7 linked regions of the Xenopus tropicalis genome follow. The protein of the gene in region 1 binds, or shares a complex with, the protein of each later gene. Links are inferred from orthologs where the notes say so. Each region holds a gene or a part of one and is shown in the gene's direction. Other genes may lie near its edges. The genes, in order: gnb1, ffar2, chrm2, kctd12, kctd5, gna13 and trpm3.

What was found.
Region 2: the proteins of gnb1 (region 1) and ffar2 are in contact, whole or in part, in a cryo-EM structure (PDB 9CM7), measured with the Homo sapiens proteins. The link is inferred for Xenopus tropicalis from reciprocal best matches to the Homo sapiens genes GNB1 and FFAR2. Residues at the interface, in NP_001269468.1 of Homo sapiens: Arg52, His54, Leu55, Asp312, Ser334, Phe335; in NP_001357016.1 of Homo sapiens: Arg37, Gln38, Pro39, Gln40.
Region 3: the proteins of gnb1 (region 1) and chrm2 are in contact, whole or in part, in a cryo-EM structure (PDB 7T96), measured with the Homo sapiens proteins. The link is inferred for Xenopus tropicalis from reciprocal best matches to the Homo sapiens genes GNB1 and CHRM2. Residues at the interface, in NP_001269468.1 of Homo sapiens: His54, Leu55, Asp312, Asp333, Ser334, Phe335; in NP_000730.1 of Homo sapiens: Val50, Asn51, Arg52, His453.
Region 4: the proteins of gnb1 (region 1) and kctd12 are in contact, whole or in part, in a crystal structure (PDB 6M8S), measured with the Homo sapiens proteins. The link is inferred for Xenopus tropicalis from reciprocal best matches to the Homo sapiens genes GNB1 and KCTD12. Residues at the interface, in NP_001269468.1 of Homo sapiens: Arg8, Glu12, Lys15, Arg19, Thr184, Asp186, Cys204, Asp205, Ser207, Thr221, Thr223, His225, Glu226, Ser227, Asp228; in NP_612453.1 of Homo sapiens: Lys246, Asp251, Leu253, Glu255, Ser256, Arg257, Asp258, Pro259, Asp260, Arg261, Pro262, Pro263, Arg265, Arg269.
Region 5: the proteins of gnb1 (region 1) and kctd5 are in contact, whole or in part, in a cryo-EM structure (PDB 8U7Z), measured with the Homo sapiens proteins. The link is inferred for Xenopus tropicalis from reciprocal best matches to the Homo sapiens genes GNB1 and KCTD5. Residues at the interface, in NP_001269468.1 of Homo sapiens: Arg52, Gly53, Leu55, Lys57, Tyr59, Gln75, Asp76, Gly77, Lys78, Thr87, Asn88, Lys89, Val90, Ala92, Pro94, Leu95, Arg96, Ser97, Ser98, Trp99, Met101, Leu117, Gly131, Asn132, Val133, Arg134, Val135, Thr143, Tyr145, Gly162; in NP_061865.1 of Homo sapiens: Val157, Arg159, Val160, Leu161, Gln162, Cys163, Gln164, Glu166, Glu167, Gln170, Met171, Thr174, Met175, Ser176, Asp177, Trp179, Ser190, Tyr191, Val205, Lys207, Leu209, Glu219, Ser221, Lys223, Ala224, Leu227, Gln228, Arg230, Gly231, Ser232.
Region 6: the proteins of gnb1 (region 1) and gna13 are in contact, whole or in part, in a cryo-EM structure (PDB 8H8J), measured with the Homo sapiens proteins. The link is inferred for Xenopus tropicalis from reciprocal best matches to the Homo sapiens genes GNB1 and GNA13. Residues at the interface, in NP_001269468.1 of Homo sapiens: Gly53, Leu55, Lys57, Tyr59, Gln75, Asp76, Lys78, Ile80, Thr87, Asn88, Lys89, Val90, His91, Ala92, Ser98, Trp99, Met101, Leu117, Asp118, Asn119, Tyr145, Asp186, Met188, Asp228, Arg314, Trp332; in NP_006563.2 of Homo sapiens: Ser31, Ile34, Asp35, Leu38, Glu41, Lys42, Val45, Lys50, Gly205, Ile206, Glu208, Lys219, Val221, Lys231, Arg232, Trp233, Phe234, Glu235, Cys236, Phe237, Asp238, Ser239, Val240, Arg279.
Region 7: the proteins of gnb1 (region 1) and trpm3 are in contact, whole or in part, in a crystal structure (PDB 6RMV), measured with the Mus musculus proteins. The link is inferred for Xenopus tropicalis from reciprocal best matches to the Homo sapiens genes GNB1 and TRPM3. Residues at the interface, in NP_001153488.1 of Mus musculus: Lys57, Tyr59, Trp99, Val100, Met101, Leu117, Tyr145, Gly162, Asp186, Met188, Cys204, Asp228, Asn230, Asp246, Arg314, Trp332; in NP_001349418.1 of Mus musculus: Lys615, Arg616, Lys618, Ala619, Lys621, Leu622, Leu623, Gly624, Met625.

What each region holds. Positions count from the first base shown.
Region 1 is NC_030683.2:91,943,761-91,947,322, forward strand, and holds part of gnb1 (guanine nucleotide-binding protein G(I)/G(S)/G(T) subunit beta-1), read left to right. Parts: intron 1-1,806; coding exon 1,807-1,873; intron 1,874-2,379; coding exon 2,380-2,581; intron 2,582-3,562. UniProt on the Homo sapiens protein: Guanine nucleotide-binding proteins (G proteins) are involved as a modulator or transducer in various transmembrane signaling systems.
Region 2 is NC_030683.2:122,767,846-122,772,012, reverse strand, and holds the start of ffar2 (free fatty acid receptor 2), read left to right. Parts: upstream 1-1,322; 5' UTR 1,323-1,735; intron 1,736-4,167. UniProt on the Homo sapiens protein: G protein-coupled receptor that is activated by a major product of dietary fiber digestion, the short chain fatty acids (SCFAs), and that plays a role in the regulation of whole-body energy homeostasis and in intestinal immunity.
Region 3 is NC_030679.2:6,147,910-6,151,404, reverse strand, and holds the end of chrm2 (muscarinic acetylcholine receptor M2), read left to right. Parts: intron 1-327; 5' UTR 328-376; coding exon 377-1,789; 3' UTR 1,790-2,957; downstream 2,958-3,495. UniProt on the Homo sapiens protein: The muscarinic acetylcholine receptor mediates various cellular responses, including inhibition of adenylate cyclase, breakdown of phosphoinositides and modulation of potassium channels through the action of G proteins.
Region 4 is NC_030678.2:126,319,892-126,324,153, forward strand, and holds the start of kctd12 (BTB/POZ domain-containing protein KCTD12), read left to right. Parts: upstream 1-1,454; 5' UTR 1,455-1,645; coding exon 1,646-2,620; 3' UTR 2,621-4,262. UniProt on the Homo sapiens protein: Auxiliary subunit of GABA-B receptors that determine the pharmacology and kinetics of the receptor response. Increases agonist potency and markedly alter the G-protein signaling of the receptors by accelerating onset and promoting desensitization.
Region 5 is NC_030685.2:28,840,762-28,844,859, reverse strand, and holds the start of kctd5 (BTB/POZ domain-containing protein KCTD5), read left to right. Parts: upstream 1-1,238; 5' UTR 1,239-1,243; coding exon 1,244-1,441; intron 1,442-4,098. UniProt on the Homo sapiens protein: Its interaction with CUL3 suggests that it may act as a substrate adapter in some E3 ligase complex. Does not affect the function of Kv channel Kv2.1/KCNB1, Kv1.2/KCNA2, Kv4.2/KCND2 and Kv3.4/KCNC4.
Region 6 is NC_030686.2:50,664,747-50,668,856, reverse strand, and holds the start of gna13 (guanine nucleotide-binding protein subunit alpha-13), read left to right. Parts: upstream 1-1,310; 5' UTR 1,311-1,595; coding exon 1,596-1,878; intron 1,879-4,110. Other genes in the region: regulator of G-protein signaling 9, read right to left, coding at 1,041-1,053. UniProt on the Homo sapiens protein: Guanine nucleotide-binding proteins (G proteins) are involved as modulators or transducers in various transmembrane signaling systems.
Region 7 is NC_030677.2:129,964,130-129,967,691, reverse strand, and holds part of trpm3 (transient receptor potential cation channel subfamily M member 3), read left to right. Parts: intron 1-62; coding exon 63-191; intron 192-2,969; coding exon 2,970-3,221; intron 3,222-3,562. UniProt on the Homo sapiens protein: Constitutively active, non-selective divalent cation-conducting channel that is permeable to Ca(2+), Mn(2+), and Mg(2+), with a high permeability for Ca(2+).

The sequences.
Region 1 (3,562 bases):
TAAAAGGTGTGAACAACACAGGGGATTACATATTTAAACAATACAACCTGATTACAGCCTGAATCTGAGGTGGGAACCATGCAGGGGGGGCAGTTAATCTCAGTACTGATACCACTTAGAGCTTACACAAGAGTAAGCCATCAAAGCAGCCAGACAGGTGGGGGGCCACACAGAGGGGGGTCGCGGGCCGCATGCGGCCCGCGGGCCGCCAATTGGACAGCACTGCTTTAAGGCATCCAAGGGGGGGCAGGCCTAGGTAGGACTGCTTAGCCTAATGGCAATTAGCAGGTAAATATTGGTTGAATGCGGTCTTGCATATTTCTTGAAGCCCAATCCGCAGGCTGATTATGATGAAACTTGTGACATTTGCTGTCCTTTGCTGTATTTCACTAGTGAGAAGACTAATGTGACATTTTTTTATGCATTTTCAACCAAACATTTTACAAAGGGGCTTGGGCCAAAATTTGTCCAAGAACATTAAGGCCTTTATCACTCTACACAGATGTCTTGTTCTCCCTGCACTGAGAGGCAGATACAGCTGCAGAATGTCTGTATTGGTCCTTTATGGCAGGGGTCCCCAACCACTGGGCCGGGGACCGGTGCCGGGCCGTGCTGAACTGGGCCACCTCTGGTCCCAATTACCTGTGATCCCAACTCCATGACAACTGCTATGTGAAGCCCAGGAAGCTTTCTACTGATCACAAAAAGGACCAAAGTACTTAAAGCTATATATTAAGTGTCAGAGGATGTCCCCACTTGGGTGGGAGTAAGCAGAGCAGAGGGGCTGGGTGCATCTAGTTGCTGATTTTGTATTATGATGAGCTGTATTATACCCACCACCCCTGGTCCTCAGAAAAATTGTCTTGCTTGAAACCGGTCCCTGGTGCAAAAAAGGTTGGATACCACTGCTTTATGGCAATCATATACAGATTTACAGGATTGTCAGATCAGTTGTTTGGTCCTGCTCCTTGATTGCTCTGAGACTCTGGATCCTTTCACATAACACAATCCATTTTTACCTCATTTTGATTCCATAGTCTTAAAAGACTAATCCCTTTCTCGTAAAAATCACAAGCTTAGCAGTGATTCCACCATATGTACTGCTGTTATGATGTGTATCATTAATGAATTGTGTTTTTATACTTATTTGGGTTTAATAAAGACATTATTTGTCCTGTGAGCAACACATCTGAAACCTTAAACACAGTATGATGTGATAGCAGCAGGTATTGGGCAAAACTTAGATTATTGGTATTAATATGTTACAGCATAAGGGGTCTATTTGTCCCAGATGTAAATACAAAAGATGTTGTGATAACATCTTAAGATGTTAATACAAAAGATGTACCCTTGTTGGTAGCAGAACAGTCCTGTTGTGTTTTTTTTTTAATACTTAAATTACTTTTTAAGTATGGTGATCCAAATTGCAGAAAGCCTCCTTTTCCGGAAAACCAAATTTCCCAAGCATTCTCGATAACTGGTCCCATATCTGTACTACTTTTTGACTTTGGACACCATCGTCCATTAATGGCCATAAGCTTATAAATGCTAATATTGATAGATAGCAACTATAATTAACTTTAAACATTACACATCTTTTGTATATCTGTTTAATGTGAGATGCTAATTCAGACTGGATCACTCCACAAAATGGTAGTTTGTTAAATAAAAAGTCCACCTTTCAGATTAATTTATAGTATTAGTAAATTATACACGGACTTTATTACCATTATTATGTTTATACCAAAGTCCTTGGATGTTGTATGGTTTTAATTCAAGCTGTTTTAATCATCCGTTTTTCTACAGGGTATCTTTCCTGCTGCCGTTTTCTGGATGATAACCAAATAATTACCAGTTCTGGAGATACCACTTGGTGAGTTTATTGATCCCCTCAGTTTGTTTATAGTCTCTAAAGAAAGCTACTGTACTGCTGTCAGCATAGTATTTCCCTGTACTGTGAAAGTATTATAAAATATCCCTTAAAGCAGTAGGAAAGATATAGTCACTGGGGCCAAATGTTAGCCACTCCCAGTGATTGTAATCGCTTACCTGATACCTCAGGCCAGTGCTCCTGTCAGCTAACATTTTGGCACCCCCCCAGTGATCATACCTTTCTGTCTCCTTTAATAGCAGAAATAGGCTTCTGTTCATAATTAGGATTTATGTTCTATACAAACTTTTCACAATTTAGAGAGATGGGGGGGGCTAATTTGTCAGTGTATGAAGAATGACTTGGCCTAGCTGCCTGTTTAGCATCAGAGAAGCTTCCATCTTTTCTTTTATATTTATATAATATATATATATAGTGTGTGTGTATATATATAATATGTGTTTCTGTGCCTTTTGATGCTTTGAGCTCATCTGTCTCTTTCTGAACAGTGCCCTTTGGGACATTGAAACTGGCCAGCAGACAACAACCTTTACTGGACACACTGGGGATGTTATGAGCCTGTCCTTAGCTCCAGATTCCAGGTGCTTCGTGTCTGGAGCCTGTGATGCATCTGCCAAACTTTGGGACATTCGAGAAGGAATGTGTAGACAAACCTTCACTGGACATGAGTCGGACATAAATGCCATCTGTGTAAGTCTATGTGACCACCTGTTTCTATCCAAACTTGTCTTATCCATATGACTGCCAAAAGGTTTGCCATGTTAAGGGCACGTTGGGTAAAGTATGGCTACGCAACACTCTTTTCATGTAGCATAAATTTAAAGTGCATCTATCGACTCCCATATTGTTTCCCCCTCCAGAGGTTGGGCTAATAGAGCCTGCACGCCAGTTGGGTAAAACGATAGTTTTACCCAACTGGTGTTTTAACCCCGGCCTGGAGCGAGCTCCCGGTGCAGGCGACCATGTTTGGCTTGCATGCGTATATTGAGCAAATCTCACCGCTCACTCATTTATACACATGCCCCTGGCATGGGAGCGTTGGATGCAACTCACCCTCCTACATCATGCATGCACATAATGAACGAGTTGTGGCACTCGCTTATTATGCGCATGTGTTACAATATGGCTGCCTGCACCAGAAGCTCCCTCCTGGTGGGGGTAGCCTAGCACTGGCAGGGGGCATTTGAATAAAAAAAAATCAACACTGCGGGTAACTATCCAAAATAATTAAACAACAAATTAGGCTACATATACTACACTTTATATTGTGGGTTTCTGTACCAGACCAAAGCCACTACCTCCCTTTAGCAGATGAAAGGAAAACTAAAGCTTAACTAAAGAAGTAGGCTAGAAATGTAGTACCAGCCCAAGGCAACCACAGCCTTCTGCTGATTCACTGCACAATCTCTGTGTTGTTACTGAGCTTAGGGAACCAGTCACAATGAACTGTATATATAGAATATAAATGTCACAATATAAGGCTGATAAGTAATCAATACAAATAATTGCTGCTTGGCAGCTCAGAAACCAATGCAATTAGCATCAGAATTTAATAATCAGCTCCCAAGCGTCTTCCCCCCTATGACAGACAAACCTCATTTTCTGCTTGATAATTTGCTAAGAACCCCAAGCTTAGATTTTCAACAGCTGCCCAAAGCACATTGAGCATGT
Region 2 (4,167 bases), about 31 Mb from region 1:
GACTCCTCCAGTTACATGGGAGTAGGAGAAACAATAGGTTAGCTGAAAGCAGTTCTAATGTGTAGCACTGGCTGAAAGCTCAGACTCAGGCACACTTTACTGCTGCGCTGCAAGTTCGAGCAATATCCCCCCCCCTCACCCCCAGCAGCCAATCAGCAGAACAATGGGAAGGGAGCAAGATAGCAGCTCCCAGTAGGTATCAGAATAGCACTCAATAGTAAGAAATCCAAGTCCGGCTTGGGACTCCTCCAGTTACATGGGAGTAGGAGAAACAATAGGTTAGCTGAAAGCAGTTCTAATGTGTAGCACTGGCTGAAAGCTCAGACTCAGGCACACTTTACTGCTGCGCTGCAAGTTCGAGCAATATCCCCCCCCCCCTCACCCCCAGCAGCCAATCAGCAGAACAATGGGAAGGGAACAAGATAGCAGCTCCCAGTAGGTATCACAATAGCACTCAATAGTAAGAAATCCAAGTCCGGCTTGGGACTCCTCCAATTACATGGGAGTAGGAGAAACAATAGGTTATCTGAAAGTAGTTCTAATGTGTAGTGCTGGCTCCTTCTGAAAGCTCAGACTCAGGCACACTTTACTGCTGTGCTGCAAGTTGGAGTGATATCCCCCCCTCACCCCCAGCAGCCGATCAGCAGAACAATGGGAAGGGAGCAAGATAGCAGCTCCCAGTAGGTATCAGAATAGCACTCAATAGTAAGAAATCCAAGTCCGGCTTGGGACTCCTCCAGTTACATGGGAGTAGGAGAAACAATAGGTTAGCTGAAAGCAGTTCTAATGTGTAGCGCTGGCTGAAAGCTCAGACTCAGGCACAAGGCACTGAGATGGCGCCTACACACCAATATTACAGCTACAAATACATTTGTTGGTCCAAAAATAAAATGTTCAATGGCAGAGGGAATTATTTGCTATGTAACAGTGTCATTTAGAAATAAAAAGCAGTAAGATGAAAGAATAACTTACAGAAATAAAACTGATCTATCTATGGTTGTTTCATTCGTTCATTTGTTAGAATTTAATATTGTTCTTGTTGTTATGGGACAGTCTCTAAAGCCATATATACACATTGTACTGTAAAATGTAAAATATCAGTAAAAATACTGATGGACAAAAAAAGCCTTATTGCTCTATTCTTGCTCAGTCTCATTGCTCAGTATTCCCCCCATTTGTTTATTTTGGATCTTTCTTGTGAAATCTGTGATATTCCTCTGCTGAGGTTCATGTGTTTCCTTTGGTCTCACCCCCCCTCCCTCCCTCTTCTGTATATTTGCAGTTTAATAGAGAGATTGCTGCGTCCGTTGGCTCATTTCTGCCTCTTGCAGAGGATGGGGAGACACGTGACTGGCTCTTGTGTAAGTTTGTTTAAGTGACAGGAGCCCAGCAGAGCGGAGGAGCAGACAGAGAGTGAAGTGCCGGAGCCGGAGCCAGATTCTAGCAGCCTCCTTAGGGCTCATGTCTTGCTCTTACACAGGGAACATGTGACCCAAACTCTTGCACCCTACAAGGCTTATTGGATAAAGGATATTTATCCCCTAATTACAGGTCATATTGGCCAAGAAGCATTATTAAGATATATACCCACCTAATACTTATACCTAATTACCACCCCAGGAGGAGCCATTTGGGATGCGGAGGCACCTGATTTTGCTCATTATTTTTGGACTTGATGTGGTGCCCTGGAATCTTTAAGAGGATTTGGATTTTCATTACCAGACTGAAGGCAAAGGTGATTATACACACTCCATGAAACTTTATACTTTATTGTATTTTGGAACCTTTTCTCTGTAATAATAAAACAGTACCTGTACTTGATCCCAACTAAGATATAATTACCCCTTATTGGGGGCAGAACAGACCTATTGGGTTTATTTAATGGTTAAATGATTCCCTTTTCTCTGTAATAATAAAACAGTACCTGTACTTGATCCCAACTAAGATATAATTACCCCTTATTGGGGGCAAAACAGCCCTATTGGGTTTATTTAATGGTTAAATGATTCCCTTTTCTCTGTAATAATAAAACAGTTCCTGTACTTGATCCCAACTAAGATATAATTACCCCTTATTGGGGGCAAAACAGCCCTATTGGGTTTATTTAATGGTTAAATGATTCCCTTTTCTCTGTAATAATAAAACTGTACCTGTACTTGATCCCAACTAAAATATAATTACCCCTTATTGGGGGCAGAACAGCCCTATTGGGTTTATTTAATGGTTAAATGATTCCCTTTTCTCTGTAATAATAAAACAGTACCTGTACTTGATCCCAACTAAGATATTATTTATCTTTATTGAAAGCAAAACAAACCTCTTCAGGGGCCCTCAACTGCCCTCTCACCCACCACTACCCCCTTCCCCCCATGTACCTTATATTTAACTGTAATCGGGGGACCGACCTTGGTTGCTTCAGTAATTGAGGTGCAGGACAGGTTTATGGGGACAAAAATAAATCTGATAGCAAAGCTTAGGGGTAGGGATACCTCTCTGCATCTGGACCAGTACTAATGGTATTGCTTATGCTCCAGCCAGGTAGGAAAGGTTCCCATGCCTAGGAACAGATCAGCAATAGAGATTTACAAGAACAGATAAAAGTAACATAGAAATTGAGGGAAAAAAAGACAGAAAGTGTGAGAAAACGGAAGAAATAAATAAAAATAAATGGGGAAGTAATAAGAAGTGATACAGAATATGAGAAAAGAAGCTGCAGAAATGAGACATATAGAAAGTAATAGCGATGGGACAGATATGGCGGTAAGTGGAACTTGGTCTCTGCTGTTTTGAGAACTTCAGTTGTAGTTTATGTGATTAAGATCTAACCTACCATTAGAATAATGATATCTCCTTATGTATAAGCATAAACTCCAATAAACTAGTGTTAGTAACACCAGGGATATGAACTGATTCTGCAAATCTGTGGTTATAAATAAATGTCGATGCTTCATTGACTCCCACCCCTTAATATACAAGCAACATGCCTCCATATCAATATATATGCAGAAAATATATGTTTTTAGTGGAGCAGTTTATAGAGTTTAAGCTCTACATGCAGGATTTGGGTGTATTTGCTTTCAAATACAGGCATAGGACCCGTTATCCAGAATGCTCGGGACCAAGGGTATTCCGGATAAGGAGTCTTTCCGTAATTTGGATCTCCATACCTTAAGTCTACTAAAAAATGAATAAAACATTATTTAAACCCAATAAGGGGTAATTATATCTTAGTTGGGATCAAGTACAGGTACTGTTTTATTATTAGAGAGAAAAGGGAATCATTTAACCATTAAATAAACCCAATAGGGCTGTTCTGCCCCAATAAGGGGTAATTATATCTTAGTTGGGATCAAGTACAGGTACTGTTTTATTATTACAGAGAAAAGGGAATCATTTAACCATGAAATAAACCCAATAGGGCTGTTCTGCCCCCAATAAGGGGTAATTATATCTTAGTTGGGATCAAGTACAGGTACTGTTTTATTATTACAGAGAAAAGGGAATCATTTAACCATGAAATAAACCCAATAGGGCTGTTCTGCCCCCAATAAGGGGTAATTATATCTTAGTTGGGATCAAGTACAGATACTGTTTTATTATTACAGAGAAAAGGGAATCATTTAAACATAGAAATAAACCCAATAGGGCTGTTCTGCCCCCAATAAGGGGTAATTATATCTTAGTTGGGATCAAGTACAGATACTGTTTTATTATTACAGAGAAAAGGGAATCATTTAAACATAGAAATAAACCCAATAGGGCTGTGTGAAATCTGGCACAAGAGACCCAATTCAAAAAGCCACCTCAGGATGTTCTATTTATAGCTAGAGATCTAAATATGGAAGGGAAACTCTTTGGGGGAAGTTATTTTTTCCTATAAAAAGGATCAACGCACCAGAGGTCACCCCTTTAGAATAGAGGAAAAGAACTTTCATTTGAAGCAGCGCAGGGGGTTCCTCACGGTGAGGGCAGTGAGATTGGGGAATGCACTTCCTAGTGATGTAGTGATGGCAGATTCTTTTAATGCCTTTAAAAGGGGCAATACCTTAAAACATAGTATCCAAGGCTATTGTAATATTAAAATCTACAGTTAGTATTAATGTTGGAATATATGGTTTATGTAAGTGAGTGTATAGATAGGGCAGTGTGGGTCTGTATGTGAGTGGA
Region 3 (3,495 bases), on another chromosome or scaffold:
CGCACCCGATACCAATTTGATGCGACCGCGCCTTTTTTGACATGACCACGCCCAATTTGATGCACAACCAAAAAAAATTGTGCGCAACGCATTTTTCCACGTTGAATTTTCACAGAAGTTTTGCGAAACAATTCGCCAATGGCGAAATGCGTAAATTCGCTGCGAATCCATGCCTGGCGAAAAAATTCGCTCATCACTAATGTTGATTACAATAACATTTTCTTTCATTAGGCAAAAATACAGACTTTGGGTAAAGTTCCCCTTTAGTTCTTACTTACAGTTGACGTTCTGGTGGGTAATGAGTTTCCTTTTTCCTCTCTCCCCCAGGTGTAAATGGTCTCTAGAGAGTCATTGAGGAGCTGTCTAATCTGCAATCATGAATAACTCAAGCCTAGTCAACGTGTCCTCAACCAATGAGACCATGATGGGAAGCCCTTACAAAACGGTAGAGGTGGTCTTCATTGTGATTGTGGCTGGATCCCTCAGCTTGGTCACCATCATTGGAAACATCTTGGTCATGGTCTCCATAAAAGTCAACCGACACCTTCAGACTGTCAACAACTATTTTTTGTTCAGCTTAGCCTGCGCTGACTTGATCATCGGGGTCTTCTCCATGAACCTCTATACTCTCTACACTGTGATTGGGTACTGGCCGATAGGACCTGTTGTGTGCGACCTATGGTTGGCCTTGGATTACGTCGTCAGCAATGCTTCAGTCATGAACCTTCTCATCATCAGCTTTGATAGGTATTTCTGTGTCACCAAACCTCTAACCTATCCAGTGAGGCGCACCACCAAGATGGCAGGCATGATGATTGCCGCCGCTTGGGTGCTATCTTTTATTCTATGGGCGCCTGCTATACTTTTTTGGCAGTTTATCGTTGGAGGGAGAACTGTCCCAGAAGGTGAGTGCTACATCCAGTTCTTCTCCAATGCCGCGGTCACGTTTGGCACGGCTATCGCTGCCTTCTACTTGCCCGTCATTATCATGACCGTGTTGTACTGGCAGATATCGAGAGCGAGCAAAAGCCGGATCAAGAAGGGCAAAAAAGAGGCAGCGCCCAATCAAGACCCAATATCTCCTAGTAATGTCCAAGGGAAAATCGTAAAACCAAATAACAACAACGTGGCCGCCAACGAAGACGGGTTGGACCATGGGAAAATCCAGAACGGCAAAGTCACGAGCAACTCCGGCATCGAAAACTGCGTCCAGGCAGAAGGGGAAGAAAAAGAGATCTCCAACGACTCCACGTCGGTCAGCGTCGTCAACACCAAGGACGAAGGTGCCGCCAAAGACGTCCCACAGGCCTCGGGATCTCAAGCCAATCCAAAGACGGAGAACTCCAAGCTCACGTGCATACGGATAGTGACAAAGTCCCCGAAGGGCGATTGTTCTAATGCCACCGGCACCACCGTGGAGATCGTCCCAGGGGCCAACGGACGCAACGGAGAAGACAAGCAGAACATAGTTGCCCGCAAAATTGTAAAGATGACCAAACAGCCTCCCAAGAAGAAGCTTCCACCTTCCAGAGAAAAGAAAGTCACAAGGACAATCTTGGCCATTCTGCTTGCGTTCATTATCACCTGGACACCGTACAACGTCATGGTTTTAATTAACACCTTCTGTGCCGTCTGCGTGCCCAACACCGTTTGGACTATCGGCTACTGGCTTTGCTATATCAACAGCACCATCAACCCTGCTTGCTACGCCCTCTGCAATACCACCTTCAAGAAGACTTTCAAGCACCTCCTAATGTGCCAGTATAAAAACATCGGCTCGGCTAGGTAAAAAATACTCGGAGGTGGAGGAGACGGAGACCTTCCGAGCTGCCATTTTAATATAATGCCATAGCACTTTACACTCATAAACGGAATGTGCAATCAAAGAACCTCGCCGGGACTGGTGGGTCTTCTCCACCCGCACTTAGAACTTGGAAACCATTGAAGTCGAACCTGGGTACAACTTCGTGCTCTTTCGTTGACGGACTCTCAAGGGCTCCTTGGCTCCCCAGTTAATTCCATGTCTGTATTACTACGATATTCACACTTTAACGAGTCGTTACGTCTACAAGGAAACCGAGTGGCAGAGTATTGAACAAAAATGACGTTGACATGACTCACAAAGTCCCAAGTTTGACGCAGAATTTTTTTGGGGTTTTTTTTTTCCCAATATTTATCCTAAGCGTTTAAACTGGTTTCTTCTGTGCCTCAGTGTTTTCAGTGACTTGTCTATCAAAAATATATCTCTCACGATCGGGGGCCCCGCGGGGGCCACATTAGAGCTTCCTGGATACAAACTAGCCAATCAATTCACTGTACAGAGTTCTGTGTTGAATTCATGGGGAAAAGGGGATTATTTATGCAGAAGCCTCTCTTTCTTTTTACAGTAATTACCGATAAGATGTATTAACGCTACATGGTCTTGCAAACATGTAAACTCGAAGTCGGATATAGCGGTGAATGGGAGGTGTCCCTATCCGTAAAGGAAAAGGCTGGATAATAGCGCAGGGACGTAAAGGGAAAGTAAAGATGCAATAATATTATTTAGTACGAGGCGACACACGCTGGAATGGGGGGGGGGTTTCTTCTGTCTGGAGACATTTAAAGGGAAAGTTGAACTTAAACATTAAGTGGGATGTAGACAGTAAGGCTGATCCATGCTCTATATGTTTTATTCCAGATTGTATTGTTAATATATTGTTAATATTTTTGATCACAATGCCCAGGGAAGGCTGCCATCATAAATCATGGAGAACCGTGTACCCCCCCACCCCCCAAGGGCCTGGCTAATACCGAATGGCCCACCTCTGCCTCTTGGGCTGTGGGACCTACCCAGGGTTAGACTGGGGAGGGTGCAGGGCCCACCCTGCAGGTGTCCCCGCCGGCTACGTCCCCTGACCGCACCCCCCCCTGGTGCCCCCCTAACCCCCTGCAGGGTCCCCCACCCAACGTCCTCCCCTGAGCACGTAAATTTAACGCATCTTGGGAGGAACAGTTGGGCAGAGGGAGCGCCGGCAAGGGTCGGGTCTGGGCCACCAGATTTTTCCCGGTGGCCTGGTAGCCCATTCTGACCCTGGACCTACCATATAATTAGTATAGGACCACAACCAATAGAACATGGCCATGATCTACCTAAAGTACCATCTTCACCACAAGTTCCAACTTTTTTTGCAGTCAGCAAAAGCCAACACAACCATCAAGGGTCCCAACCACAGAGGAAACCTGACAGTTGTGATGCGTTGTGATGCATTGGCCGACAATATTTGACTTGTGTCTGAGCGTAACCGACCTTCTCCCACCCAAACCCAACCCACTATGTTGGCAGTATATTAATAAAAGATAGCAAGTTGGAGAAGAAAAGAGGGAAGACTTGGGTTCACTGGGGTGACGATGGCTCCACCTTCCCACAATGCTCAAAAACGTGGTTATGCTGACCAGAACCGTCCAACCCTGGGGTCCTGTGGGTTTTAGTCTTCCCCACTGCAACCCTACCTG
Region 4 (4,262 bases), on another chromosome or scaffold:
TGAGAATTTACAGATATGCCCTAACAACCTATACAAGTGAACAGAGAGTTGTTTGATTTATTTGATAAATATTCCTCTATATACACGAAGTTTGCAAGTTCTTCCCATGCTTGTATCAGTTTCTTCTGGGTATTCTAGTTAATATTGGCCATAATATTGGCCATAGTCAGTGTTGGACTGGCCCACCAGGATACCAGGAAAACTCCCAGTGGGCCCAGGTATCAGTGAGCCCTTTTGCTTCTAACTATTTAGCCTATTTCATAGTCATTCCTTATTTCTGTATGGTGACAAGGAAGCTTGCAAGATGGAAGAATAGAGTATAGTATGTAGAGAAAAAAGAGTAGGATAATAAAGAGTTTGAGGGAGGAGAGGAAGAATAAAAGTTCTGAGAGTGGGCCCACGGTCCAGGGTTTTATGGTGGGCCCCTGCCACTTCAGTCCAACACTGGCCATAGTGTGTGTATGAGAATGTGACAAAACCTTAGCCTGTAAATTCCTCTTTACCTGAAAAAGTTACCCTTTTACCCTATGTATCTGAATGAAAAGACATACACAAATAATGTATGTTATGATGATATTATAGCATATTTTACTTTTTTTTTTTGGAAGAACAAAATAAGAGAAAAAGAAAAATAATGTGTTCTCATACTAATATGGACATTTTAGACTGTAATGCTAACATAATGCATATATATATACAATATATATATATATAGTCAGCTATCTTTTATTAACATCTTTTTACAGCTGTTATGGGCAGTGCTCAGTATATTCTGTATTCAGCCATGCTGCATAAACCCTATTATTTGTAGATAAGAATGCAGTCATAAACCTTAAAGGATTTACTTACTGCTGACTTAATATATAACTAAATAAGATGAGGTTCAGCTTTTATCACTTAGCTATCGGAACAATTCTTTTTAAAACTATATTTCTATACTATTCTTTTTCTGCTGCTACTTAATGTGTGTGTCATATTTGTTGGCAATGTATTTTTTGTGCCTGCTATACAAAGGAAGGTATCAGATATACTATAGAGCTCTTTAGAGACTTGGACTGTGCCTTTATTCCATGAATGTCAGTCTCACATGTTATAATTACCCTTTCCAGCAAACATATTCTTACAAGACTGTGCATTAAGATAGATGAGTGGAAGCTGCTGACTACTTGACTGAATGAATGCTAATGTTACTTTTTATGCCTTGAAATAATAACTGTTTATGAGAAGGAAGAAGCAAGTTGCAGAGCTGTGCAGGTTTTATTTGAGTGGATAACAGCAGGGATCCAGCTGCAAAGCTTGCAAATACAGTACTGCACACATCCCCTTTTTGTATGTGTATGTGATCAGCTGTCTCTGGGCTTTCTCTCTTCGTTCCCCTCCTCCCTCCCACGCCTCTAGTGTACATTTCCACATAAAAACACAGACCCTGCCATCTCTCTCAATCAGAAACACAAGGAGAAGCGGAGGAAGGAAGCAGACTAGTCGGCTCTTCTGTGTATCTTGGCTGCACATGCACAGCCCTAGCTGAAACTGTGCTTTGCTCGAGAACAGGTTTTTATGCTTCTTTTTTTTCCAAGTGTTTTTACCCTTTTCATTTTTTTTGTTTTAGAAGGGGTATATTAATATTTTCCTTCTCCTAGTCTTCATGGCTTTACCTGATACTGCACGTGGATTACCAAATGGTGGAGGTGGCGGTGGAGGTTGTACAGAAAACAAAACTTCTGATCCTCTGTTCCCAGAGATTGTGGAACTAAATGTTGGGGGACAAGTTTATGTGACCCGTCACACTACTCTTGTATCAGTACCTGATTCCCTGCTATGGCGAATGTTTTCTCAGCAGAAACCAGGAGAACTGGCCCGGGACAGTAAAGGCCGTTTTTTCTTAGACCGGGATGGTTTCTTATTTCGTTATGTGCTGGATTACCTACGAGACCTGCAGCTGGTCCTACCTGACTACTTTCCTGAGAGAAGCCGTTTACAGAGAGAAGCAGAGCACTTTCAGCTACCTGAACTGGTGAAGCGTTTAAATCCTCTGCGAGTCAGTAAAGAGAGCTCTATTGGGGGTGAAGAACCACCTTTACTTCTAACCCCTGCAGCTATACACGATCCTGACTCAGACACAGCTGTTATCCCTGCCTCAACATCTCCAGCAGCTGGGGTTCCATCCCCAACATTAGATCCATATCGATTCAATGCCTCCTCGTCCTGCAGCCCAGCCTCAGTTCCACGCCTCACACCTTCTCAGTCTTTGGAAGGAAGAAGAAATGGGTACATAACAGTTGGCTATAGGGGGTCTTATACTATAGGACGGGAGGCTCAAGCAGATGCCAAGTTTCGGAGGGTAGCTCGCATCACAGTCTGTGGCAAAACTTCCTTGGCCAAGGAAGTTTTTGGAGAGACATTAAATGAGAGTCGAGATCCTGATAGGCCACCTGAGAGGTACACTTCCAGGTATTACCTCAAGTTCAACTTCCTGGAACAAGCCTTTGACAAGCTGTCTGAAGCTGGCTTCCACATGGTGGCATGTAGTTCCACTGGAACATGTGCCTTTGCCAGCAATGACCAGAGTGAGGATAAAGTCTGGACAAGCTACACCGAGTATGTCTTCTGCAGGGACTAAAACATTGTCATAGACTGAGAAATGGAAAGAAAAAGTGTCACACCTATTTAATCTCCTGATCCCAAAAAGAAGGTATTTCTTCCTCATATAAAGACAACAGCAAAAGTGAACTGCAATATTGTCATTTTTAATTCCTACATGTAGGTTTCTTATGAACAGAGAGAACATTTGGTAACTGTATAATGCAACAGATTGCAACAGCTCTGGCTTAGGTATGTTTCTAATACTCTGTGTTATACCACCCCTGCTATAGAACTTTGCCATTCCTTTATTAATGTTGTTTACCTGCTACTAAACAGCTTTTACCAACTTCCTTTTAGTAATGGACTGTGCATTCGACGCCAAATAACCCATGTGATCAGATTATTTTTCAGTTATGGGAAGTATACAAAAAATGCTACTGCTTAACATCATTTAAAATGTTTTTGACTGATATGCAGAAACACATATTTCTTTACCAATATACCCTCAAGCATAAATATATATACTTTACTGTAGGTACAAATTAAAATGAGAAGGGTAAAAGAACATTTCAGGTTATCTTTGTATCCCCTGTTATGCTCAGTCTCTTTTAAAATGTACTTTTTATTTGATACTATTCAAGGCAAATCAGCTAGCAAGATGATCTTTATGTTATATGGTCATTTTAACAGTGGTTTCTGCTTCTTACAGAAAGGAAATTAATTAAATCTTAATTCAAGCTTTTTATTCTTCCTAAAGAACAAAAACATTTTTACGGCTTCTGTTTGGCAAGACACTGCCTTCCTTTCATTTTAATGTTTTGGTTGTGGTTCATTATGATGAATTCATACATCAGCATATTTTTGAGAGCCCCACAGATGAGAACTGTGCAACCACAGAGTTCATTGGAAGTGCTGTAAATAGGCTTGATGTGTATCATGCCGAGTGTATAATGTGGAGCTGGTTAGAGCTGGCTCCTGTTTCAATAATAGATAATAACATATTTCCTCTTCTACTGCATTTTTTATGCTCTATTCATCTGAAAGTAATTAGAACATAATTAAAAAGGGTAAGGGAAATTGTGGAGAACACCATCCAGCAATACTATTTGCATAAACCCCCCAAAAACAAATAGCACTATGATAATATGGTGAAATATACCAAACTAGATATTTCTCTCTGATGAACAAAATGCTATTTTTTTGCATTAGCTTTGCCATGGTTAAGGTCCTAAGGGAACCTGGTAACAGCAGGAAGCCAATGTTGTCCTGTCACAATATATTGCCATATAGTGTGTGTGTGACTTCTCCTGATTTACAATACTCTTTTCATACAGTATGACAGGAGACTAGTCACAATTAATAAGAGATGTGGGAAATATTAATAGCATTAGACAGAAGATTGATTTTCTTTAAATGTGTATTTATTTGACCTTAACTGAAATGACCTACTGTTTGAGTAGAATGTATGCCCAGGAGCAGCACAGTTAACATCTCTAATGCTCACATGACATCTGTAACGTACAAGCTGTATCTCTAGTTTAATGCCTAAAGCCAGGCCTTGGTTACACTTTGTCATAAGCACTGAAATAATCAATAGTCTGTGTTGTCTGAAAACAAATAGAGTTTGTAAACATTCATTGTCATCATTCACCAGTATCCTATATTTCCTGGCACATAAA
Region 5 (4,098 bases), on another chromosome or scaffold:
GGGCCAGGTTGGAGCTGCAGAGTGCCATTGAGCCCTATGGGAGACTTTCCTTGGGCCAGGTTGGAGCTGCAGAGTGCCATTGAACCCTATGGGAGACTTTCCTTGGGCCAGGTTGGAGCTGCAGAGTGCCATTGAGCCCTATGGGAGACTTTCCTTGGGCCGGGTTGGAGGTGCAGAGTGCCATTGAGCCCTATGGGAGACTTTCCTTGGGCCGGGTTGGAGCTGCAGAGTGCCATTGAGCCCTATGGGAGACTTTCCTTGGGCCAGGTTGGAGCTGCAGAGTGCCATTGAGTCCTATGGGAGACTTTCCTTGGGCCAGGTTGGAGCTGCAGAGTGCCATTGAGCCCTATGGGAGACTTTCCTTGGGCCGGGTTGGAGCTGCAGAGTGCCATTGATTCCTATGGGAGACTTCCAAAATCATGCAAAGAAGGATCAAAGTCAGAAAGGTTTCCCGCCGTTTACGATCGTTCGGTACGAAAATTTTGTGACTTTTGGATCGCCAATACGATATTATCGTGACTAATGTGATTTTTTCGTAAGCATCTTCGTGATATTTGCAATCTTAACAAATTATCGGATCCAATCCGAATTTATCCCATTCGGGATTGGAACTCTTGTTTTCATGAATGTGCCCCATGAATGGCCTATACTTAGCAACTTTTCAGTTGGTCCTTAGTTTTTGTTTTGGATAGCTTTTTTCTTCTGGCTCTTTCCAGCTTTCACTGACCCCAGGCAGCAGTTACTAAACTTTTGCTCTTTGAAGCTACAATTTTGTTATTGATAATGTTTATTACCTTTCTTTCTATTTAAGCCTCTCAATTCTCAATGTATATTTTTGTGTCTCTTTCAGACCACTGCTTGGTTACTAAGCTAAATAGGACCTTGGCAACCAGATAGCAGCTGAAATAATTCCAAACCAGAGGGCTACTTGAACAAAACGCTAATACGTTTAGAAAAACACAAACTTTAAAAATGAAAACTAACTGCAAATTGTATCTACATCATACTAAAAGGAAGGCAAACAACTTCTTTAACTGGGATATGGGAGGGTCACTGCACCAACTACGTGATTATTTGCTCTCTAACGTACACAGCAGGTGTTTCGGACTATATAGCCCCCCTTCTTCTGGCACGTACCTTCCGCTTCCGTTTAGCATGACGCAAGCGCCCAATTAGAAGGAGGAGGGGAGGTTTTTAAAGAGCGGACACTTCCGGGGCTGTCAGTGGCAGGATAGTGACGGCCATGGCAGGGAATAGTTGCGAGGTGAATGGGAGTGGGATCCCGGTCTGTAGAAGGTGCGCTGCTCCCGGAGTGTCCAAGTGGGTCCGGCTCAACGTGGGGGGGACCTGCTTCCTGACAACGCGGCAAACCCTGTGCAGAGACCCGAAATCCTTTCTGTACCGCCTGTGCCAGGCAGACCCCGACCTGGACTCGGATAAGGTACCTACACTCAGGGGCAGTGGGCACAAAGTGTCTGTAGTTGATGTGTGGGTGGCTTATGGGCGCAGGGCCTGGGGGCTTGTGTGGGGCCGCTATTGGGGGAGCCAGGGGGGGGCAGTAATGTGAGTGGGGCTTAGTGGAGCGGAGGGGCAGTAATGTGAGTGGGGCTTAGTGGAGCGGAGGGGCAGTAATGTGAGTGGGGCTTAGTGGAGCGGAGGGGCAGTAATGTGAGTGGGGCTTAGTGGAGCGGAGGGGCAGTAATGTGAGTGGGGCTTAGTGGAGCGGAGGGGCAGTAATGTGAGTGGGGCTTAGTGGAGCGGAGGGGCAGTAACGGGAGTGGGGCTTAGTGGAGCGGAGGGGCAGTAATGTGAGTGGGGCTTAGTGGAGCGGAGGGGCAGTAATGTGAGTGGGGCTTAGTGGAGCGGAGGGGCAGTAATGTGAGTGGGGCTTAGTGGAGCGGAGGGGCAGTAACGTGAGTGGGGCTTAGTGGAGCGGAGGGGCAGTAACGTGAGTGGGGCTTAGTGGAGCGGAGGGGCAGTAACGTGAGTGGGGCTTAGTGGAGCGGAGGGGCAGTAACGTGAGTGGGGCTTAGTGGAGCGGAGGGGCAGTAACGGGAGTGGGGCTTAGTGGAGCGGAGGGGCAGTAACGGGAGTGGGGCTTAGTGGAGCGGAGGGGCAGTAACGGGAGTGGGGCTTAGTGGAGCGGAGGGGCAGTAACGGGAGTGGGGCTTAGTGGAGCGGAGGGGCAGTAACGGGAGTGGGGCTTAGTGGAGCGGAGGGGCAGTAATGTGAGTGGGGCTTGTAAGGTAGATGAACAAGTGGGTGAGCGGGACTTGGTGGTCTAGAGGGGCAGTGAGTAAGGAAGTCTTTGTGAAGAGGACGAGCTGTAATTTTGCAGAGCTTAGTGATCTGAAGGGGCAGTGAGTAAGCAGGGCTTAGTGGAATGGATGGGTCTGTAAGTGAGCAGGGATTAGTGGAGCAGAAGGGTCTGTAAGTGAGCGGGGATTAGTGAAGCAGAAGGGTCTGTAAGTGAGCGGGGATTAGTGGAGCAGAAGGGTCTGTAAGTGAGCGGGGATTAGTGGAGCAGAAGGGTGATTGAGTTTGGATAAACAGAGGGGTGTGGGGGAGTGAATGCATCTAAGCAAATGGAGTTACTTGGAGAGGTAGTGAGCAAAATGCGGCTGCAATAGTGTAAGGGTAGTCGGCAGTACAGGGTTGAAAGCAATGGTGAATAGGTTTGAAAGGAGCAGTGAAGAAGTTCAGTGGGTAACACAAAGCTAAAGAGAGGTAGTAGGCCACACAGGACTGGCTGAAAATGTTCTGCCATTAGGAATCATCTTTTCTTCCCATCAGCACTGAACAAGTAGAGCATATCTGGAGTGTGATACTGACCATTACTTTTCACTTTTGAGTTAACTTTTAGTATTATGTATATCAGGGTAATATTCTGAGATAATTTGAAATTGGTCATCATTTTTTATTTGTCGTTTTATAATTATTTCAGTTTTTGTTCAGAGTTTCAGCAGCTATTTGGGTGCTAGAATCCAAATTAATTAATATGAATAGGAGAAGACCTGAATAGAAAAATAAGTAATAAACAGTAGCGATAAAACTATAGCCTCACATAGCAATCATATTTTGGCTGTGGGGGTCAGTGATCCCTGTTTGAAAGGGGCAAAGAGTTAGAAGAAGGCAAATAGTTCAAAAACTATAAAAAAAAAAAATGAAGACAGATTGAAAATTTGCTTAGAATTGGCCATTCTGTAACATACTGAGTTAATGTAAATGTGAACCATCCCTTTAATACAATTTCCCAGGAAAGTGCAGACAAAGTTGTATCATGGTTTTGCCTGTAGACTGGCCATATTGGAAACTATTAGACCGGGCCATTGTGACTTTGTACATGTGGTGATTGCGGAGCAGCAGGGGGGTTTGACAGTGACATTCTGGGACAAAGTGGAAAGGTAGCTGGGTTAAGTGTGGTCCGAGGCAGTTGGTTAAATAAGAGCAGGACAGTGGTGTTCATGAGTAGCTGTTGTGTTTTAAAGGGGTGTTTGGCAGCATCTTTTACTAAGGACTGTGGTGTAGGTAATCCTAGGTGCAGCTCTTGAGAGGATAGGGGCAGCCTTTTTGTGTAGTTTGCTTGGAAACCCTGATAACTTAATGTTTGCTAAGGGTGAAGACACATAGAGCTACTAGTAGCAGCTACTTGTCATGGCTACTATATCATTACTGATAATTGTCTCTACATGTGTTTTAGCAGAGGCAATTCTGAGTATTGTCTATGGCAGGGTATTTTATGGCTTTTAGGGCTCTGGCACACGGGGAGATTAGTCGCCCGCGACAAATCTCCCTGTTCGCGGGCAACTAATCTCCCCGAGTTGCCATCCCACCGGCGATGGCACACGCGGCGGCGCGATTTCGGCAAATCGTCGAAAATGCCTCGCGAGGCAACTTCGTCAATTTGCCGAAATCGCCTGCGCAGCGTATACCATCCCACCAGCGACTTACATGTTCGCCGGTGGGATGATAGTTCGGAAGATTAGTCGCTCCAAGACAAGGGAGATTTGTCGCGGGCGACTAATCTCCCCGTGTGCCAGAGCACTTAGTAGCCGTGAAAAAGTAGTGCCTACTAGTAGCTCCATGTGTCTCCACCCT
Region 6 (4,110 bases), on another chromosome or scaffold:
CAGTCCCCATGATTAAACAGAAGGTTGGCTATATATTCCTTTAAAGGGGTGGTTCACCTTTAAGTATGTTATAGAATTGCTAATTCTAAGCAACTTTTCAACTGGTCTTCATTTTTTGTTTTTGAATTATTTGCCTTTTTCCTCTGCCTCTTTGCAGCTTTCAAATGGGGGTCACTGACCCCGGCAGCCAAACCCTATTGCTCTGTGAGGCTCCAGTTTTATTGTTATTGTTACTTTATATCACTTATTCTTCTTTTCAGCCCCTCTCCTATTAATATACCTGTCTCTCATTCGAACCACTCCCTGGTTGCTAAGGTGATTTGAGTCTTAGAAACCAAATAGCTGCTGAAACTGCAAGCTGCCGAACAAAAAACCTGAAATAATTAAAAATCTACAAGTAATAAAAAATGAAGACCAATTGCAAATTGTCTCAGAATGTTACTCTCTACGTCATACTAAAAGTAACTCAAAGGTGGGCAACTCCTTTACGGTACCAACCCCCTTAGCAATAATGAGTGCAAATGGTTAACATGAAATTCCCTTGCATGGACATAACCAGTTATTATTAGGGCTGCGCCGAATCCCGGATTTGGTTTGAGATTCAGTAGAATCCGTCGGGGTGGGTTTGGGGGTTCGGCCGAACCCAAAAAAGTGGGTTTGCTGCATCCCTAGTCATTATTAATAACATGTATTTATAAAGCGCCAACATATTCCATAGCGCAGTACAATAATGGGTTATATAATTACTTAGATTGTAAGCGCTACGGGGCAGGGACCTCCTTCCTACTGTGTCTCATACCACATGGCACTTTATATATATATATATATATACATCTATATACAGAATGAGGGGCATTTGACACTACACAAGCCCCTCAGCAAGATGGAGCAAGTCTAGAGAGCAAACTTCCTGGCAGCCAATAGAATTGCAGAAGGAGAATCACATGATGAGGTGCGATAGCCGCCAGACTGCAAGTAGAAGGGCAAAATGACCAAACTGAATATTATATATAAATAATAATAAAATATAGAGGTATTACTTTGGCCTCTCATCTCTTCAGTAAGCTGAGGCTTTTATAGGGGAGAGTAATTTCTCAGGCAGCCTACAGAAGGGGTATCCTGCCACAGAATGAGGGGCAATTGACACCACAGAACAGAAGCCCCTCAGCAAGATGGAGCAAGTCTAGAGAGCGAAGTGTCTGGCAGCCAATAGAATTGCAGAAGGAGGATCACATGACGAGGTGCGCTAGCCAGTAGAAGGGCAAAGGAAGCATCACGTGAGGAAGAGTTGCAAGATGGCGGATGGTGTTGCCGGGTTCGGGCCGCGCCCCCAGTTCCCGCGTTGCTCGGTGTAGACGAGACGTTTCCCAGCGCGGCGGAACCCTAGAGAAACGATAGCCGCTTTCTCTGCCTCACACACCGGCGCCTTAGCGAACGGAAGGAACCGCGCGTTCCCGCCTTCCACTCAGAGCGAAAGGAGTCGGGGGCGCGCACGTACCCACCCAGCGCCGCTCCCGCGCACGCACCGCCAGGACCGCTCCCCCGTCCCAGGGCCGCCGATGAGGCAGGAGTGAGCCAGGGCGAGTGTGTGTAAGATGGCGGACTTCCTGCCGTCCCGCTCCGTGCTGTCCGTGTGCTTCCCCAACTGTGTGCTCACCAGCCGGGAGGCCGAGCAGCAGCGCAAGTCCAAGGAGATCGATCGCTGCCTCTCCCGGGAGAAAACCTACGTCAAGCGCCTGGTGAAGATCCTGCTGCTGGGGGCCGGGGAGAGCGGCAAGTCCACCTTCCTCAAGCAGATGCGCATCATCCACGGGCAGGACTTCGACCTGCGGGCCAAGGAGGAGTTCCGGGCAACCATCTACAGCAACGTCATCAAAGGTACCCGGCCCGGGGCAATTGTGTCACTAGTTACCCACTGGGGGTAACTAAACCTGCCCCAGCAGGATACCCCCCCCCCCTCATGTGTAGGAATGGGTTAATTACCCCGGGGAAGGGATTAGGGGGGTATGTAGGGCAATTATAGCAAACCTACCCACAGGGGGGGCACTTAAACTGGGGGTAACTAAACCTGCCCCAGCAGGATACCCCCCCATGTGTAGGAATGGGTTAATTACCCCGGGGAAGGGATTAGGGGGGTATGTAGGGCAATTATAGCAAGCCTACCCACAGGGGGGGCACTTAAACTGGGGGTAACTAAACCTGCCCCAGCAGGATACCCCCCCCCCCATGTGTAGGAATGGATTAATTACCCCGGGGATGTGATTAGGGGGGTATGTAGGGCAACTATAGCAAACCTACGCACAGGGGGGGCACTTAAACTGGGGGTAACTAAACCTGCCCCAGCAGGATACCCCCCCCATGTGCAGGAATGGGTTAATTACCCCAGGGAAGTGATTAGGGGGGTATGTAGGGCAATTATAGCAAACCTACCCACATGGGGGGCACTTGAACTGGGGGTAACTAAACCTGCCCCAGCAGGATACCCCCCCATGTGCAGGAATGTGTTAATTACCCTGGGGACGTGACTAGCCCTACATACCCCCATGTAGGGCAACTATAGCAAACCTACCCATGGGGGTGGCACTTAAACTGGGGGTAACTAAACCTGCCCCAGCAGAGTGCCCCCCTATGTGCAGGAATGAGTTAATTACCCTGGGGAAGTGATTAGGGGGGGTATGTAGGGCAACTATAGCAAACCTACACAGGGGTGGCACTTAAACTGGGGGTACCTAATTGCTCCCCCCCCCCCCCCGCATGCAGAATGTGTTAATTTCTCCGGGAAAGTGAATAGGGGGGTATGTAGGGCAGCAATAGCAAACCTGCCCCATCAGATTGCCCCCGTATGTGAGGTGGGTATGTGCAGGAATGTGTTAATTACCCCGGGGAAGTGATTTTAGGGGTATATAGGGCAACTATAGCAAACACCCACAGGGGTGGCACTTAAACTGGGGGTAACTAAATCTGCCCCATCAGAGTACCCCCCCCCATGTGCAGGAATGTGTTAATTACCCCGGGGAAGTGATTAGGGGGGTATGAGGGGCAACGATAGCAAACCTACCCACATGGGTGGCACTTAAACTGGGTTTACTTAAACCTGCCCCATCAGTGTACCCCCTATGTGCAGGAGTGTGTTAATTACCCTGGGGAAGTGATTAGGGGGGTATGTAGGGCAACAATAGCAAACCTACACACAAGGGTGGCACTTAAACTGGGGGTACCCAAACCTGCCCCATCAGTGTACCCCCTATGTGCAGGAGTGTGTTAATTACCCTGGGGAAGTGATTAGGGGGGTATGTAGGGCAACTAAAACAAACCTATATGTATGGGCTAGGGGTATCTACAGAAATGTCTTCCAATATACCCCAGGGCATTTATCCAAAAATCTACCCCTTTGTTGGACAGTTAGATTGGCGGAGTATCTGCAGCAGCATTATATTTTGTTCCTGGGGGGCGGTTGTGCTAAGGGGCATCAGTAGCCCCGTTACCCCAGGGGTTTGAGTGGCGAGCGCTATATAAAGGTACCCCAGTTCCAGTAGTGGGGGTAATAGTTTGTACATCGTCAAATTTTACCCTTTCAGAGGGGCACGGTTATATTGGGGAAGTGCTTACCCACAGCAGCACTATTGGTGCCACCCCGGGGGTCACAACATCCTTACTAATACCCCAGGGGGCAGGGTGGGACGTGGCACTGAAGGCGTTGACATCACGTGTGAAGTTATCTGGGACTGGGTGACAGTTGCTGTATGTTTACAAGGTACCGGGGGGGGGGGTCCATATTATGGGGCCCCAGTGTTCTCTAGTTACCCCTAGTGGGGCATACATGTGCTTGTTGGTAATGACATCCAAGTGACACCAAAGGGGGCAATTATAATGGGACCTTTGGGTAACCTGTGCAAGGATTAATTAGATCCATGGGGGGAGGGATGTAGATACCCCTGGGGTTTGGGCAGATTTTGCGGAATTTGGGGAGGGGGCAATTGTGTCAAAATGATCAACTTGGCTACCACTGCAAAGTTACCCCCAAAGCTGGGCAGCCCAGAGGGGTGTCATCAGTGGTTCATCTTCCCCTTTAGTAAGTACAGCGTACAGTAATGGCCCCTCAGTGACACT
Region 7 (3,562 bases), on another chromosome or scaffold:
ATTTATTACATAACCCCCTAAATGTTTTGTCTAATCATTTTTATTTGTGTGTCTTTCCACAGATGGCCTATATGGGCTACCTCATGTTGTTCAACTACATTGTTCTAGTTAAAATGGACCGCTGGCCATCAATGCAGGAATGGATTGTCATCTCATATATTTTCACTCTGGGAATAGAAAAAATGCGTGAGGTAAAACTGATTCAAACATTTATTACCAATTATTACCAAAATAACCATAAGTTAATAAGATGCAGGCAGTTAAAACTACAGGTATGGAATCCATATATAACAGAGTATATGTAAAGTGTTCCAACCATACAAAAATAACTGTTGTATGGACACTTTATCATCCAGCTATCTGAACTAATAACTGCAGATAAGTTAAACATAAACACATGCTCTTGTTAATAACTAATAGAATTTTGCTGTAATAGCCAGATAGAATATAAAAACACAGGTGCAACTTTGCACTGGTGTTGAAACCCATAGCAACCAATTAACCATTTGGTTTATGACCCATGAATGGTTGTTAAAGGTTACTCCACCATTTCAAGCAAAATGCATATATCTTCATAAACTGACCAGTTGGATCATTGCAATATTGGTCCAGCTGTTTACTACCTAACCTGTTGTAGAGCAGGCTGATCCTATTGTGTCCTGAAACATGTCCTCAAAGTTAATTCTGTATTATACCAGTTATAAAGCTCACTTTATATAATGATTTTTATTACATCATTATTATATAATTACTTTATATATTATAGAATTACACTATATAAGGCACCCAAATGTGTGCTCCATCCATATTCAGTATACAGCAAAAGACAAGAGCACTTTCCTACTGCTGCAGAACTCTTCTATGAAAAATATATAGTAGTCAGAGATTTAAAGAAAAGAACCACAGTAGCCACTAGAGGACACTGTAATATTAAAAATAAAAAGGTTGTATGTGCTTTGGTTTTTGGTGAGCATCTAATACTGCAAATACAATATTTTACCACTGCAAAAAGTTACTCTTTTGCAATTTTATCTGTACTATTGTGTGTTATTTGACTGGCGCAAACAAATAATGTCAGTCAACCAAATTAATAATGAAAATCTGTTAGTACATATTACCTGTAGTCACATATCTAGGGTTTGTATATATTTCACTGGATATTCAGAGAGCAGTAATAAAAGCACAGAACATTATCTATAGTACATTATGTGGATCTCAATCCACAATTCTTTTAATGCTTGTCTGGGAATATTGAAAAAAAACACATTATTACATTATTATTTTACAGTGAAAATGAATGACTGATGATTCTGCAATTTCTAAAAATGAATTTTGAGAATGACACTAAATATAGAAACATCTAATTCTAGCATTCCTGTCTAGCAGATATTGTAACAGAATAATATTGATGCGAATTCCTGAGCTAAAGTTTCAAATATTGAAGTGAGGGTGGAATAATGCAAAGTAAGCATCTCTTGCTAGAGCCTGGCCTCTTATATCTACAGATAATACAATAGCTATCATTTTTAAATAATTTACTGATGTAAAATGAGGTTAAATAATCATACTGAGGACAAACTGTCTTTGTCTGACAGTAAGGAATAAAAGAAGATGTACATTTCTCTGTTTCAGAGTCCTGAATGCTGGCCATGCTTTAAAATCAACACCTCCCTTGTTGGGCAGATAAAGTTACATTTATCCTGGAAGGTCTGCCTTGTCAGGGCTGATGTCATTACTGTGTGCTAGTTATATATTAATTCAACACACAGAGGGAATATCTGTATCAGGTGTATGTCTGACCAGTGTAAATTGAAATCTCACCCCTCTGAGACACATGCTAGGGCCCTGCTATGGCCAAGACTTGATATGCCAGTCTTAGAGGGGGGGGTTGTCTCTATGTTGTATTACATATATATATACTGAGTAACTTCTTACTTTTTTACATTGGGTGGAGAAATGTTTAAGAAGTAAAGCACTTGATTAGACCCATCAGAATAATTGTTGATGCCTTCAGTGACTTCTGGAGCTGTAGAAATTAGGCACTTGAACCTTATGGGCAGCATGCAGCAGCAGCGCCAAAGCTCAGTACAGATATGGAATCCATTATCCAGAAACCTATTATACAGAAAGCTCTGAATTACATGAAAGCCATCTCTCATAGGCTCAATTTGAATCAAATAATTTCATTTTTTAATTGTTTTTCTTTTTGTCTGTAATAATAAAACAGTGTCTTGTACTTGATCCCAACTATATTTATAATTGGGCTATAATTAATCTTTGTTGAAGGCAAAACAATCCAGTTGTTTTTATTTAATGTTTAAATGATTTTTTAGTAGAATGTAATCCTTATCTGGAAAGCCCTAAGTCCCAAGCATTCTGGACAACTGGTCTCATAACTGTACAGGTATAGGATCAGTTATCCAGAAACCAGTTATTCAGAAAGTTCTGAATTACGGAAGGGCCATCTCCCATAGATTCCATTGTAACAAATGATTCCAATTTTTAGAAATTATTTCCTTTTTCTCTGTAATAATAAAACAGCACCTTGTACTTGATCCCAACTTACATTTAATTAATCCTTATTGGATGGAAAACAATCCTATTGGGTGTATTTAATGATGTTTAAATGAATTTTGAGTAGACGTAAAGCATGGAGATCCAAACTACGGAAAGTTCCCTTATCCAGAAGACCCCAGGTCCCAAGCATTCTGGATAACAGATCCCATACATGTACTTGTAATGACAGTTCTTACACCATAAAGGGAGTGCTTATTTTGGGCCCATATTACAATATGGTGTAAAACATCCCTTGTTTATTAATATAAGATGACAAAAGTGGCTTTTTGATTTGTGAAGTTCATTTTAGGATTGCTAAATTACAGCATGGAAAAAACAGAATTACGGCATGTTTGGTTTGCAAGGGAGCTTGGGCCAAGTACTTTATGTAATACTGCTTTGTGTTCATACAGATCTTGATGTCCGAGCCAGGAAAGCTGTTACAAAAGTTTAAAGTATGGCTGCAAGAATACTGGAATTTAGCAGACCTCGTCTCCATCCTGCTCTTTTCTATTGGGATGGTACTCCGCTTGCAAGAGCAACCCTTTAGCAGCTATGGGAGAGTGATATATTGTGTGAACATTATCTACTGGTATATTCGCTTGCTTGATATCTTTGGTGTAAACAAATACCTTGGACCATATGTTATGATGATCGGAAAAATGGTGAGAAATCTTCTGTTTATTATATGATGCACATATATGTATAAATCTTGCTTTGCAATTTTATTTTTAAATACTAGTTCCAAACTCTACGCAGACACCATTGTATAGTAATCAGTGAGAGAAAATTCAATAAGACTAACTTGTGCTGATGCTTTTCCGTTTTCTGTCAATATTAATAATATCAAGAGACCAAATGTAGGAAGGAAACCTGACTCACAGGCTGTGTTGGGCCCCACCCTGCAGCTGAAAAAAAATTACCAAATACAGCACCTTCCACTGAAAATACAGGCTAAAGACAAACTATACAATTATTTTAGTGCTACACACCTACAAATCCATAT